3 linked regions of the Cricetulus griseus genome follow. The protein of the gene in region 3 interacts with the protein of the main gene of each other region in a pairwise test. Links are inferred from orthologs where the notes say so. Each region holds a gene or a part of one and is shown on either strand. Other genes may lie near its edges. The genes, in order: Atrip, Cluap1 and Cinp.

What was found.
Region 1: the proteins of Cinp (region 3) and Atrip interact in binary tests that used the Homo sapiens proteins (3 or more experiments, as listed by UniProt). The link is inferred for Cricetulus griseus from reciprocal best matches to the Homo sapiens genes CINP and ATRIP.
Region 2: the proteins of Cinp (region 3) and Cluap1 interact in binary tests that used the Homo sapiens proteins (3 or more experiments, as listed by UniProt). The two-hybrid records come from large-scale screens. The link is inferred for Cricetulus griseus from reciprocal best matches to the Homo sapiens genes CINP and CLUAP1.

What each region holds. Positions count from the first base shown.
Region 1 is NC_048597.1:217,184,761-217,188,946, forward strand, and holds the start of Atrip (ATR-interacting protein), read right to left. Parts: upstream 2,843-4,186; 5' UTR 2,724-2,842; coding exon 2,471-2,723; intron 1,278-2,470; coding exon 1,147-1,277; intron 434-1,146; coding exon 263-433; intron 1-262. Other genes in the region: Ccdc51 (mitochondrial potassium channel), read left to right, coding at 3,399-3,402. UniProt on the Homo sapiens protein: Required for checkpoint signaling after DNA damage. Required for ATR expression, possibly by stabilizing the protein.
Region 2 is NC_048600.1:42,721,089-42,724,739, forward strand, and holds part of Cluap1 (clusterin-associated protein 1), read right to left. Parts: intron 938-3,651; coding exon 830-937; intron 1-829. UniProt on the Homo sapiens protein: Required for cilia biogenesis. Appears to function within the multiple intraflagellar transport complex B (IFT-B). Key regulator of hedgehog signaling.
Region 3 is NC_048598.1:183,138,474-183,142,124, reverse strand, and holds part of Cinp (cyclin-dependent kinase 2-interacting protein), read right to left. Parts: intron 2,454-3,651; coding exon 2,285-2,453; intron 1-2,284. UniProt on the Homo sapiens protein: Component of the DNA replication complex, which interacts with two kinases, CDK2 and CDC7, thereby providing a functional and physical link between CDK2 and CDC7 during firing of the origins of replication.

The sequences.
Region 1 (4,186 bases), on a different chromosome or scaffold from region 3:
CTGAATATTTCCAGGCAACACTTGTTATTGTTTCTATTTTGTTTCACTTTTTAGAGATACTGTCTCACTATGTAGCCTTAACTGGCCTGGCATTCACTATGTAGATTAAATTGACCTAGAGCTCATGGAGATCCACCTGCCTCTGCCTCCTGCAATTAAAGGTATGCACTACTACACCCAGCTTTGGTTATTGCTTCTAATGGAATTTAGCGAATAGGCAAAACTACTGTCCATAGCATGCAAAACAAATGATCTGGGTCACCTTTTTAGAGAACTCCTTTTCTTTTTCATTGAGTGCTTGAGTCTTCTCTTGCTCAAGAAGGAAGTGTGATCTTCTCTGTTCTTCTAGAACTGATTCTGTCTGATGCAGTGAGTCACGCAAAATTTTAATTTCTCCATTCTTAATTAAGACTTCTTCTTCCATTGCTTTCAGCTGTAAATTATGTCCAGTCAGTTGGTATTCAGCAAGAACAGTTTCAGAATACACTTGTCACATATACATAAATTCTTTCAACTTTTTTTGACACTATGGGTCACACACTCCAGAACTAATGCTCCATGTTACATTCCTGGGTTTCTTAGAGGCACTTACAGATGGCCATATGAAAGATGATGATTACTTAACAAAACTAATGAAATAGCAACCAATATAATGATTGTTCCTCAAATGAAAGATACAGGTTATGGGAGCTAAAGAGATGATTTAGCAGCTAAAAGTACTTACTGCTCTTGCAGAGGACCCAGGTTCCTTTCTCAGTACCCACATCAGGTGGCTCACAACCAGTTGTAACTCTGGTTCCAGAGGATCCAAAACCCTCTGACCATTATGGGCACCTGCATACATGTGGTGCATGTAAACTCACATAGACTTACATGCATACACAGAGCAAATAAAAAAATCAGGCATTCTTCCCCTAATCTTTCATTTCAGGGGGGTGAATCTACATGCATGTTTTAAAAATTTTATATTTTTTTACACAATGCTTTTTAATACGTAAATGAATGAATTAGCTACAAATGCAAGAAGTTAGAGCTGGAAATATAGCTTAGCAGTCGGTGTCCCTGTTTATAGCACGTGTAAAGGTAAAGTTATATTCTCAGCATTACACCAAATAAACAAGGAAAGAAACCTCACAAGTTACATACCTTTTCTTTAAGTTCTTTGTATTGTGTCTGAAGTACTTCTAATTCAAAACTATCTTTAACTGGAGCATTTTCTTTGTTTTTCCTCATAGGACTATTTGATGACCCATCTAATTGGCAGACCTTATGAGCACCTGCATAAAAAATAGTTCCCATTAAGTTGAGCATGGTGGCACAGAACTGTAATCCCAGTGCTTGGGAGGCTGAGGTAGGGGGATCCCAAGTTCAAGGCTAGTCTAGTTATAGAGTGAGAAAATCTTGGGAAAAAAATTCCATAAATACTTCAGGACTCAGTATGTACCCACCTTTGTCATAAAATGCTTGTCTTGAAAGCCAAGTTGAGAAAGACCCAGTAAATAATATTTACCAATACTTTCAATCTCAGAACATGATGTAAACTCATAAAGAATTCTTATGAAATAGCATGTCTGAATACTCTCCCTTTGCACCTAATTTCAAGAATCTCAGCTAATGGCTGAGATATCACTGGTTATAACTACAATGTATCATTAATATTATTTACTGCAATATGCTAGACATAGGATCTGCTAGTCTTTAAAGACACAATGTCGAAAAAAATGGATATATCTCACGGGGGAGGTGGGGTTTCAGGGATGGATTCAGGTAATGCAGGGCCAAAGAAAGAGGAGGAGTTGCCTGTACCATTGGGTGGAGAGTAGTGCTCACCACTACCACTTAAAACATCTGGTCAGCAATGAGTGTTTTCTAATGCCAGGTTTCCCAGGCAATATTGCTGGAGAGATGGAGGTCTACATTTCCAGGAATAATCCTATTTTTCAGATGCTTTAGGTGTTAAGAACTGACGAAAAGGGCCCATCAGATCCTCCTGACAGTCCACGAGATTTCACTTTTTAAGATGTAAGCTCTGTGAAGGAAAGTTTTGATATTTCTTGCTCATTGCCCGTGGCTGTTGCCATTCCTAACTTTTGGGTAACTATCGTAGATTACTGGTTGTGTAAGAATCATTTCTTGCCTCTGCCAGACGCTTCCCATGCTCGTGCTGGGCTGCATAAAATCTAAATCCTCTCACATGGGTTGTGACAGTTCTGAAGTGGTCGTAGTTATGTTTCAAGGGAAATAAATAATAGTCTGGCTATCTATATTTAAAGCCTGGGTATGTGAGGCCTTTGGGCATTCTGGATGTTGTAACACCAAATCAAAGGGCCCTGTGAAGCAGAACCGCGCTTCGATCGGGGTCCCTCGCCTTATAAAGAGAAGGGGAAGCGGTGCAAGACACCATTGCCAAAGCCACCGCTTTGAAGCGGTGTGCACCACCCCGGGGGAAAGGCCCCCCTCAGGCACTCACTGGCCAGGCTGTTCCGAGGCGCGACCGGACACTGGCTCAGGGCCTGTGACGCAAGGATGTCGAGTTCCTCTAGGTCGTCCGCGGTGAATTCCGCGTGCGCGCCGAATGGGTCTTCGGGGTCCGGGTCCGCGGTCTCCGAGAAGCTGCGGGCCCGCTTGCTCGGAGGGTTGTCGAAGGCCCGCGATAGGCCCGGGAGAGGCGCCGGGCCGCCGCTCTGCTTCCTGTGGCTGCTCGGTGCGGGTGTCCCAGCCATGACTTCCTTCTGCCCGCAGCGTCCGAGGACGCCAAGCGCAGCCCCGTCCGCAGAAAGCCCGACTTGGCCCAACCGCCCGCGCGCCGCGGCTCGCTTCAGCTACGAGCGTCTCCCCAGCCTGCGGGCCAATCCGCTGTCAGCTAGCGGGCGCGGAGGGATGACGTGTACTGAGCGCGCTGTTACACCTGACAGGTTCCTGCTGCAGTCTGGACTCGGCACCGCGAAGTCGCCGCTTGTGCCTGGGCGCTGTGCAGTGCTGTCGTGGCTACCCGTGTTGCGGGACCGAGGAGCGTCTGTCCGGCCGCACCTGTGGCTGTCCCCGCTGGCGTTGCGTGGAATACAGTCCGCCTTGAGTCGAGACGGGCAGCAGCCAGGGGTCACTCACCGCGCCTGCCCCGCCTGTCATGTATCCGGAGACTCTCTTGCCTTGGGGAGAAGGGATCTTCCAGAATAGCGAATGTTTCAAGGATGTGTGTATTTGAGGAAAGTCCGGGAAGGGCGATCTTGAGAACGGTGTGTCTGTTCGCCGCTGCTTGAACTTTCTTATTTCTCGGAGACTCTTTATGTCCTGAGCGCTGGTTGCATAGAGGTGAATGAAGCTCAAGCGGTCAAGGAAGGCTCCTTGTGAGTGGTCCTTGGATCGCCTAACAGGTTGAGGGAAAACTGGCAAGAAAAATGGGTAAGAGCCTGACGCATAATGTTACTGAGAAAAAGTCATCTTCGACAAGGATACTAGGTGGAAGTTCCTGCGGCAGAGAGGTGTGGTAAAACTTCACAGTGGAGCGAAGATTTGGGTTGCGCTTGGGTGTATGATAGGCTTTTATGAGCATAAGTGGTGGACGGAACAGTTGGCAGGACTGGGGGGTTAGCATTGGAGACCAACAGGATCAGACTTTTCTACTCTGCTTCCTGGGTGCCAGACTTAGCTTGTGAGCCTATCTGTCTGCTAAGACATTGGGTGAAAAAGGAGAGTGCTCAGGCCTAGAATGCCTTAGGTCGTGTGTGTGTGTGTGTGTGTGTGTGTGTGTGTGTGTGTGTGTGTTTGCCTGCATGTATGTGTGTGCTCCACATGCATGTCTGATGCCTACAGAGGCCAGAAGGCATTGGCTCACTTAGAACGGCCTTAGTTTTTGGATGCAGCGGCTAGTAGTTTCCTTTAGCTGCCCAACATGTTGACTGCTTAAGCCTCCCAGCCCCCTCCCCGCCTGTTGACGGTGTCTTGACATGTAACCAAAGCTGGCCTGGAACTCCAAAATGTCCTTCCTCCCCTCTGAGTGCTGGAACTATAGACATGAACCACCATGTTCAGCTGTTTTTGTTTTTTAAGATGGTCTCAAACTTACAATCCGCCTGTCTCAGTCTCCAAGTGCTAGAATTGTAGGTGTGGGCTACCATCCCTGGCTGAATACCCCAGTCTTAATAACTAAGGTCTGTGCATCTGAAAAAGAGATAGGACTGTTCAT
Region 2 (3,651 bases), on a different chromosome or scaffold from region 3:
GGCACTACAGCATTTGGCTTTTCACATGGGTGCTGGGAATCTGAACCCAGATTTTATACTTGAACAGCAAGCATTTTACTGGCTCAGCCTTCTCCCCAGCCCCAATATATTTAATTTTCAGAATAAAAGTCATAGAATAATGATGTAATCTGTTCCCACTTAGGCTGAAGAATTTTCAAGCAATATTTTTACCTATGTTTGACAGTATGTGTGTATGTGAGTGTATCTTACATGTGCATGGAAAATCAATTTGTAAGGACAAAGCCCCTGAAAATTAGCTATGACCCTCTAGGTTGAAGTGGAACATGAGAAAAAACCATTTTAAATTTTTTTTTTTTATGAGATGTACTCATGTGATCCCTTTACTCTGTGTTAATTCCTTGGCCACAGGGATGTAACTGTACCGAACCCAAATGAGCAGAATACAGAGTTCAGTTGCAGAGGCCATTTCTGAGGTATCTGTGAATCATCAATTCCCAGGGCCACAGAGAAGAACATTACAGGTGCTAGGCATGGTGGTGAATGCCATAATCCCAACACCTAGGAGGTAGGGCAGGAGGATCAGGTTCAAGGTCATCTTGAGGTACACTGTAAATTAAAGGCCAGCTTAGCCACATGAAATTGAACAGAAGGACTGTTAGAGGTAACGATTCCCAATGAGCAGTATGAGGACAGATCCGGAAGAACAAAATAAAAGGAGGCAGGAATGGCTTCGGGGACCCTTCACAGTACCCTGTGGATCTCAATGCTAAGCAGCACCCATTTGACTTTGCCCTTGGTGATCTGAGAAACAGGCAAGGGAGCTGGGCAACAGAAGGAGTTATACTACCTTGCATGAGCACCTCCATGGCTGTCCGAGGCTTAGATAGCCGTCTCTCCTCTAGCTCACTATCAGATTCATCGTCCTCTTGGATGTCTATGTCTGAGTCATCATTACCTGACAGGAAGAACAGAAGGCAGAATAAAGGAGTAGTTCTTGCATTACAGCCAAACATCTCCTGTCTATTAAGGCTTCAGTGCAAAAGCATCTGCCTTTCTTGGCCCCTTTTCATCTATTAGCTTTTATGAGACCCCTTGGATTTTCTCAGGTACTAGTGAAGTGTTAATGCAGCTCATAATAGAGCAATTTTTCAAAGCAAAAAGAATGTGGACCGTGTTATGACAGACTGAATTTTTCACAAACTGAGTAGCTGGCTGTCAAGGTAGCTGGAAGCCCTTGGCTAATGGGGGAGGGAAAGCCACTCTGTCCTATGCCAGGCTGTCACTAAGAGTCCTGACCTTAACAAAGATAAAGAAGTGGAGCTAGATGAAGAAGATAAAGCAGGATGGAGGCGAGGAGGGAGCCCAGGCTTGGGCAGCAAAGCAGGATATCCCGAGAAAGAAAGTGCACTAGTACATGACATTCTTCACTGGGGAAAGTTCTAGATAAAGGCTACATTGGGTCCCTGGGATTGTGGCTCAGTGGTAGAGCATGTACTCACTTTCTGCAAAACTCTGGGTCCAATTCCTAACCCCCCCACAAAACTAATTAAGAAAGCTATTTTTAAAAATAAATTGTATTTATTTTGGAGGGGTGTTCATGAACGTACTCTATAAAAGGGATTTTCAGTGCAATTGCTTTTTTGTTTTTTTCAAGAGCAATCACTTTTTTTTTTATTAAAAAATTCTCAGTGTGTGTGTGTGTGTGTGTGTGTGTGTGTGTGTGTGTGTGTGTGTGTGTGCTTGTATGCCATATGTGTGGGGAGGCTTGTAGAGACCTGAAGAGGATGCTGGGATTCCCTGGAGTTGGTGTTAAAGGCATTAAAGGCAGTTGTGGGGTACTTGGTATGGGTGCTGGAAACTGAAGTAGGGTCTTCTGGAAGAGCAGCAAGGGTTCTTAATCATCCTCTCCAGCCCTGAAATCACTCTATACACATTTAAAAAATAGTCTTTGTGCCTATAACCTATGAACATTTTCTAGACAGAACCAACAGAGAGAGACTATATTGGGGAGAAAAATCTCTCATTGCTTCGTGCCTCACTAAGCCCAGGGAGTGACGGGTGGGAAGGAGGAACTTGGAAAGATTTGCAGTCGTTGGTCTGACATTGACTTAGAAGTCAGCCTGGAAATCCAGCAGTTGTTGGTCTTCCAAAAGGCTTTCCTTTGTGCCTATATGAGATAACTGTATCCACCCAGGAACTATGGAAGGCAACTTGCTTCCTTTAGCCAAAGGAAGAAGAGCTGTGTTTTTCAGTTCATGAGGGAAAGCCTAGAGCTGGTGACAGTGTCACAAAGGGATCCCTCAAGATCACCACCACAATCTCCTAAAAGTTTTTATACAGACAATGGATTCATATTAACATAATTTAATAACTATAACACAAAATCACCACTCAGTTTAGTTTCCTTCTTACTTCATCCATGAAAATTTGATATCAATGAAATATAGATCACTATACCACTTGTTTTCTGTCTTGACTAACCTAGAACTAAAGCAGCAGGAGTGGCTTGGCTAGAGACACTTTTCAGGTTTTCTAAACCTGTTCTTAGAGGATTCCCCGAAGTTCCTGCTCTCTTTCGAGGGCTCTCTGAGAACAGGTACAAAGGAGATAAACACAAAGGGAACAGGCAAGTTGGGGGAAGAGCTAAATGGTCAGGTGTATTGTCTTGACCCTGAGAATAAAAACATCTTATGAAAACAGAGAAGTAGCAAGAGAAGTGTAATGGTGATGAGGCAGGAAGATAACACAACGCAACTGTGGTGTAGCAGGAAGACCACACACTGCTACGGCTCCCAGTGTTGGATGGACGCCCTGATGTTGTCCCGGTGAGCAATGCCAGCTCATCATGGAATCCCAGAATCTAGGTCTCAAGTTTAGTGCATTTTCCTATAGGTGAGAGCCTTACTGAGCACTCCTGGATGACTGTATGGCATCTGCCAACGAGCAATGGTCCCTTCATAGATACTGCATGAAACAGTTGCTTTTTTAGCATGCTCTATAACGGGACCATTCATACTACTAGGAACAATTTGTCTTTCATAATTATTTATTACATAAATTCAAGCTAACTGTAGTATTTAATGAGACAAAAATGTTGTATCATAGGAAATGAATATTAGTTAGATGCTGTGTAATTAGAAGCAAGCTTTGATATTATTATTATTATTGAAAAAGACTCTAGCCTGGTGGTGGTGGCATATGCTTTTAATCCTAGCACTTGGGAGGCAAAAGCAGGAAGATCTCTGAGTTTGGTGCCAGTCTGGTTCTAAAGAATGAGTCCCAGAACAGCCAGAGCTACCCAGAGAAACCCTGTCTTGAAAGACAAAAACAAAAACCTAAACAAAAACACAGAAGAAAATAGATTCTTCTCTCATATAATTCATCCCGACTACAGTTTCCCTCCCTCCACTCCTCCTAGCTCTCCCATTTCCCCAGGTCCATCCATTCCACCTCATTTCCTCTTCAGAAAAGAGCAGGTCTCCAAGAGATGACAGCCAAACAAGACAAAACAAGATAGTTACAATAAGACAAGGTGAAAGCCTCATATCAAGGCCAGACAAAGCAACCCAGTAGGAAAAAGAGTCTCAAGAGCACCTGGTGCAGACCTGTGCTTCCGTTTTAGCCTCTGTGAGCTGTCTGAGTAAACTCAAATGGTACTTAATATGAAAG
Region 3 (3,651 bases):
GACATTTTTGAAGACATGCTTTCTAATCACTGGGACCTGGGGCACAGACTAGGCTGGGACGGAGGCCTGTGTCTTCTGCTTCAGTGCAGGGATTACAAACACACACTGGGTGCTGAAGTTTGAACTTAGGTCTTCATGTTTGCATTATGAGTTCCAACTCCTCCTTTGTCTTTTTTTTTTTTTTTTTTGGTTTTTTGAGACAGGGTTTTTCTGTACTGCTTTGGAGATTGTCCTGGAACTCTCTCTGTAGACCAGGGTGGCCTCGAACTCACAGAGATCCGCTTGCCTCTGCCTCTCGAGTGCTGGGATTAAAGGTGTGTGCCACCAACGCCCAGCTTTTTTATTTTCTTTTTATTTAAGATAGGGCCTCACTATGGCTTAGAACTTGCTCTGTAGTCCAGGCCAGTCTCAAACTCACGAGATCCAATTGCCTCTGCCTCCCAAATGCTGGAACTGAAGGAATGAGCCACCATACTTGTTTCCTTTTCCTTTGTCTTCACTTTTTCCTTTTCTTTTCTTTTTTCTTTTTTTGGTTTTAGTTTTTCATGACAGGGTTTCTCTGTGTAGCCCTGGCTGTCCTAGAACTCACTCTGTAGACCAGGCTGGTCTCAAACTCACAGAGATCTGCCTGCCTCTGTCTCCCAAGTGCTGGAATTAAATGGTGTGCACCATCATTTGTTCCATCCAGCTTTCTATTCATTTTTAAAAAAAATTTGCGTGTACGTGTATTTGTGTGTCTGTTTATAGGTATGTGTACTATGTGTATGCATAGAGACCAGAAGAGGGCAGCTGTGAACTGCCAGGGGGATGCTAGGAACTGAACCCAGTTCCTGGGTAGTAGAGTAGAAAATACTCTTAACCTCAAGAGTCATTTCTCTAGTCTCCCCACCCCTACTTTGTCTTTTTTAGAAAAAAAATGAAGCTGGAGGTGGTGGCACACACCTATAAATATATTCTAGCCCTTGAGAGAAGGCAGAATGAAGGTCATTTTAACCACACAGTGAGTCTGAGGGCTGCCTGGGCCTTACATAAGTCCCTGTCTCAAAACAAATAAAGGATGGAGGCTGGAGGGACGTCTCAGTGGTTAAGAGCACTTGCTACTCTGTCAGAGCACCTAAGTTCCATTCTTAGTGTCCATATTGGGGCTCACAGCTGTCTGTTACTTCAGTTTCAGAGCATCCGATGCCCCCTTTTGGCCTTTTTAGGCACTGCACCTACATGATGCGCATACATACATGCAGGCAAAACATTCATACACACAAAATAAAGTTACTAAGTCTAAAAAACAATAATAGCAGTAAGGTCTGGAGAAATTAGGCTTAGCTACTGAGAGCACTGACTGCTTTTCCAGAAGACCCAGGTTTGTTCCCAGCACCCACGTGACAGCTCACATGCAATTCTAGTTTCAGGGTAATGCTCTATTCTGGCCTCTGTGTGCAACAGACACACAAGCTGTACACAGACGTACACGCAGACAAAATAGCCATGTATACAAACAAAAAGGGACAAAAAAATGAACTGGGTGCAATGGTGCCCATCTGTGGTTCCAACTCCTTAGGGAGGCTGAGGCAGAAAATCAGCCCACCAGTGTGAGATTAACCTGGGCAGACAGTGAGGTCCTGCGATGCACACACATAACCCAGCACTTAGGAGACGGAGGCAGGAAGAATACATGGGGTTCAGGGCCAGCCTCAGGGAGGGAAACTATTTCAAAAAGAACCATAAAGCAACCAAGCAAAATCAATAAGTGGAAGGGAGGTGAGGACAAACGGCAGCCAGCAGCATGAAATCCCATTTACTTGCCACCCCACATTCCCGCAAGACAATGTGATGGGTCTGCGTCTTCCTCTTTCCAATCTTTTTATAACATTATCAACAGTTGTAAACAATATGTAGCATAATCTATTTATTTTCACATTTACTTGTGTGTATATAGGAATGGGCACATTTATGCCACGGTGTGACAGGGAAGGACAACTTGCAGTAGTTTGGTTCTTTCCTTCTACCCCGTGGGTTGCAGTGACTGAACTCATCAGGCTTGGTGGCACTAAGCCATGCCTATGGCCCAGTGTCAAATTTGTAATCCTCCTGTCTTTGCCTTTTCAGCACATCCTACCAACACTTGCATTTAAATGTATATGTATGGCTCATATTTGTATGTATCATTTCGCCATTCTTTTGGTTAAATATTTTATTTTACTTATTTACACCAATAAATTCTCACCCTCTTGACTCCTGCACCCAGTGGTTAAATACAGAGTGTGGGAACTCCGAATGTACTTACAACAAGCTGACTTTTAGGTTGGCAATATTGCTCGCGGTGGTAAAACCGGCATCACTGAGGCTTTCCCATTTCAGGATTAAGTTATGCCAATCAGCTGCATTGTCCTTAATTTTTCTTGCACTGACAGATAAGACGGGTTTTCTGGGTGTTGCAATTCCAAGAGTCTTTGCTGATAGGGACCAAGAGAAACACGACTGTTAAGGAACACATGACCACAGCCCTCCATAGTAAAATGGTCTGAAATGCCACACAAACTGGACAAACCAATGTCCCAGAAACCAAGAGGATGTTCTCAGCTCATGGCTCCATGGGTCTCAAATGTAGCCCCAGCTGGCCTTGAACTCACAGATCCTGGTGCTCCTGTCTCTCCAGTGCTGGGATTAAAGGTGTACGTCACAGCACCTTGTCTACTTTAAGAGTCAGAAACAAGTAAAACTGTGACTTTGTGCTAACACATCAGTGGTCCCATTCTCTCTCCTATGAGATCATCTAGATTTGACTATACGTATTCCAGCCATCTTCTTCCAGGCCTTTTGACTCCTGAAAGCTCATCACATCATATACTGAGCAAGTGGGACACTGGGCATGGAGAGGAGATCTTGCCAGGCTGCGCTGCTCTGCATAGGAGTGGGGAGAAATCCATGCTCCTGCCTGCAACACGGCTTCAAGACTCATCACTCCCCACTTCCAGCCTTCCACCTCCAGGCAGAACTCCGGGAAGCTCCTTCCGTAAGCTAGGGCCGCCCATCGAAGACTCATCTGATCCCACTGTCCAAGGAAAGCAAGACCAAGAGCAGAGTGTGTGTGCTGCCTTGTCAACTTAGAACCCACATAGCCATCTCACAGCTGGGAGGAATCCAGGACACACGACAGCTGCATGCCTCGGAGGCTACCCTTGGAGGACCATGCTTCCTGGGCATGAATCATAGCTCTGAGTATAAATGTATTTGTCAATCTCTTGGACCTTCTATGTTCTCATCTGCAGAGTGGTGATAAAACAGCATCTGCTCCACAGGGTTGTTAAAAGTGGATACACATGAGTTTGGGGCAGCCTGATCTACATACAGAGTTCCAGGCTGGCCAGGGCTACATAGTGAGACCCTGTCTCAAAAAAACAAAACAAAGTATGTAAATAATGTATGAGGCTGTGAGGTCCTGACACATAACAACCTGTATCACAAGGCCTATTACTAGTAGCCATGTCTGTCCATTCCTTCTCCAACATGGTCTTTATTTACTCTGTACGCCTGTGCCAGCTCTGTACCATTCCAACCTGGATCACATAAACCGTTTGTGTGTGTTCACTCACCTAGTTAACTCAGTTTTCTTTAGGGCTATTCTTCTTTGTTTTAGTGGTATTGGGGACT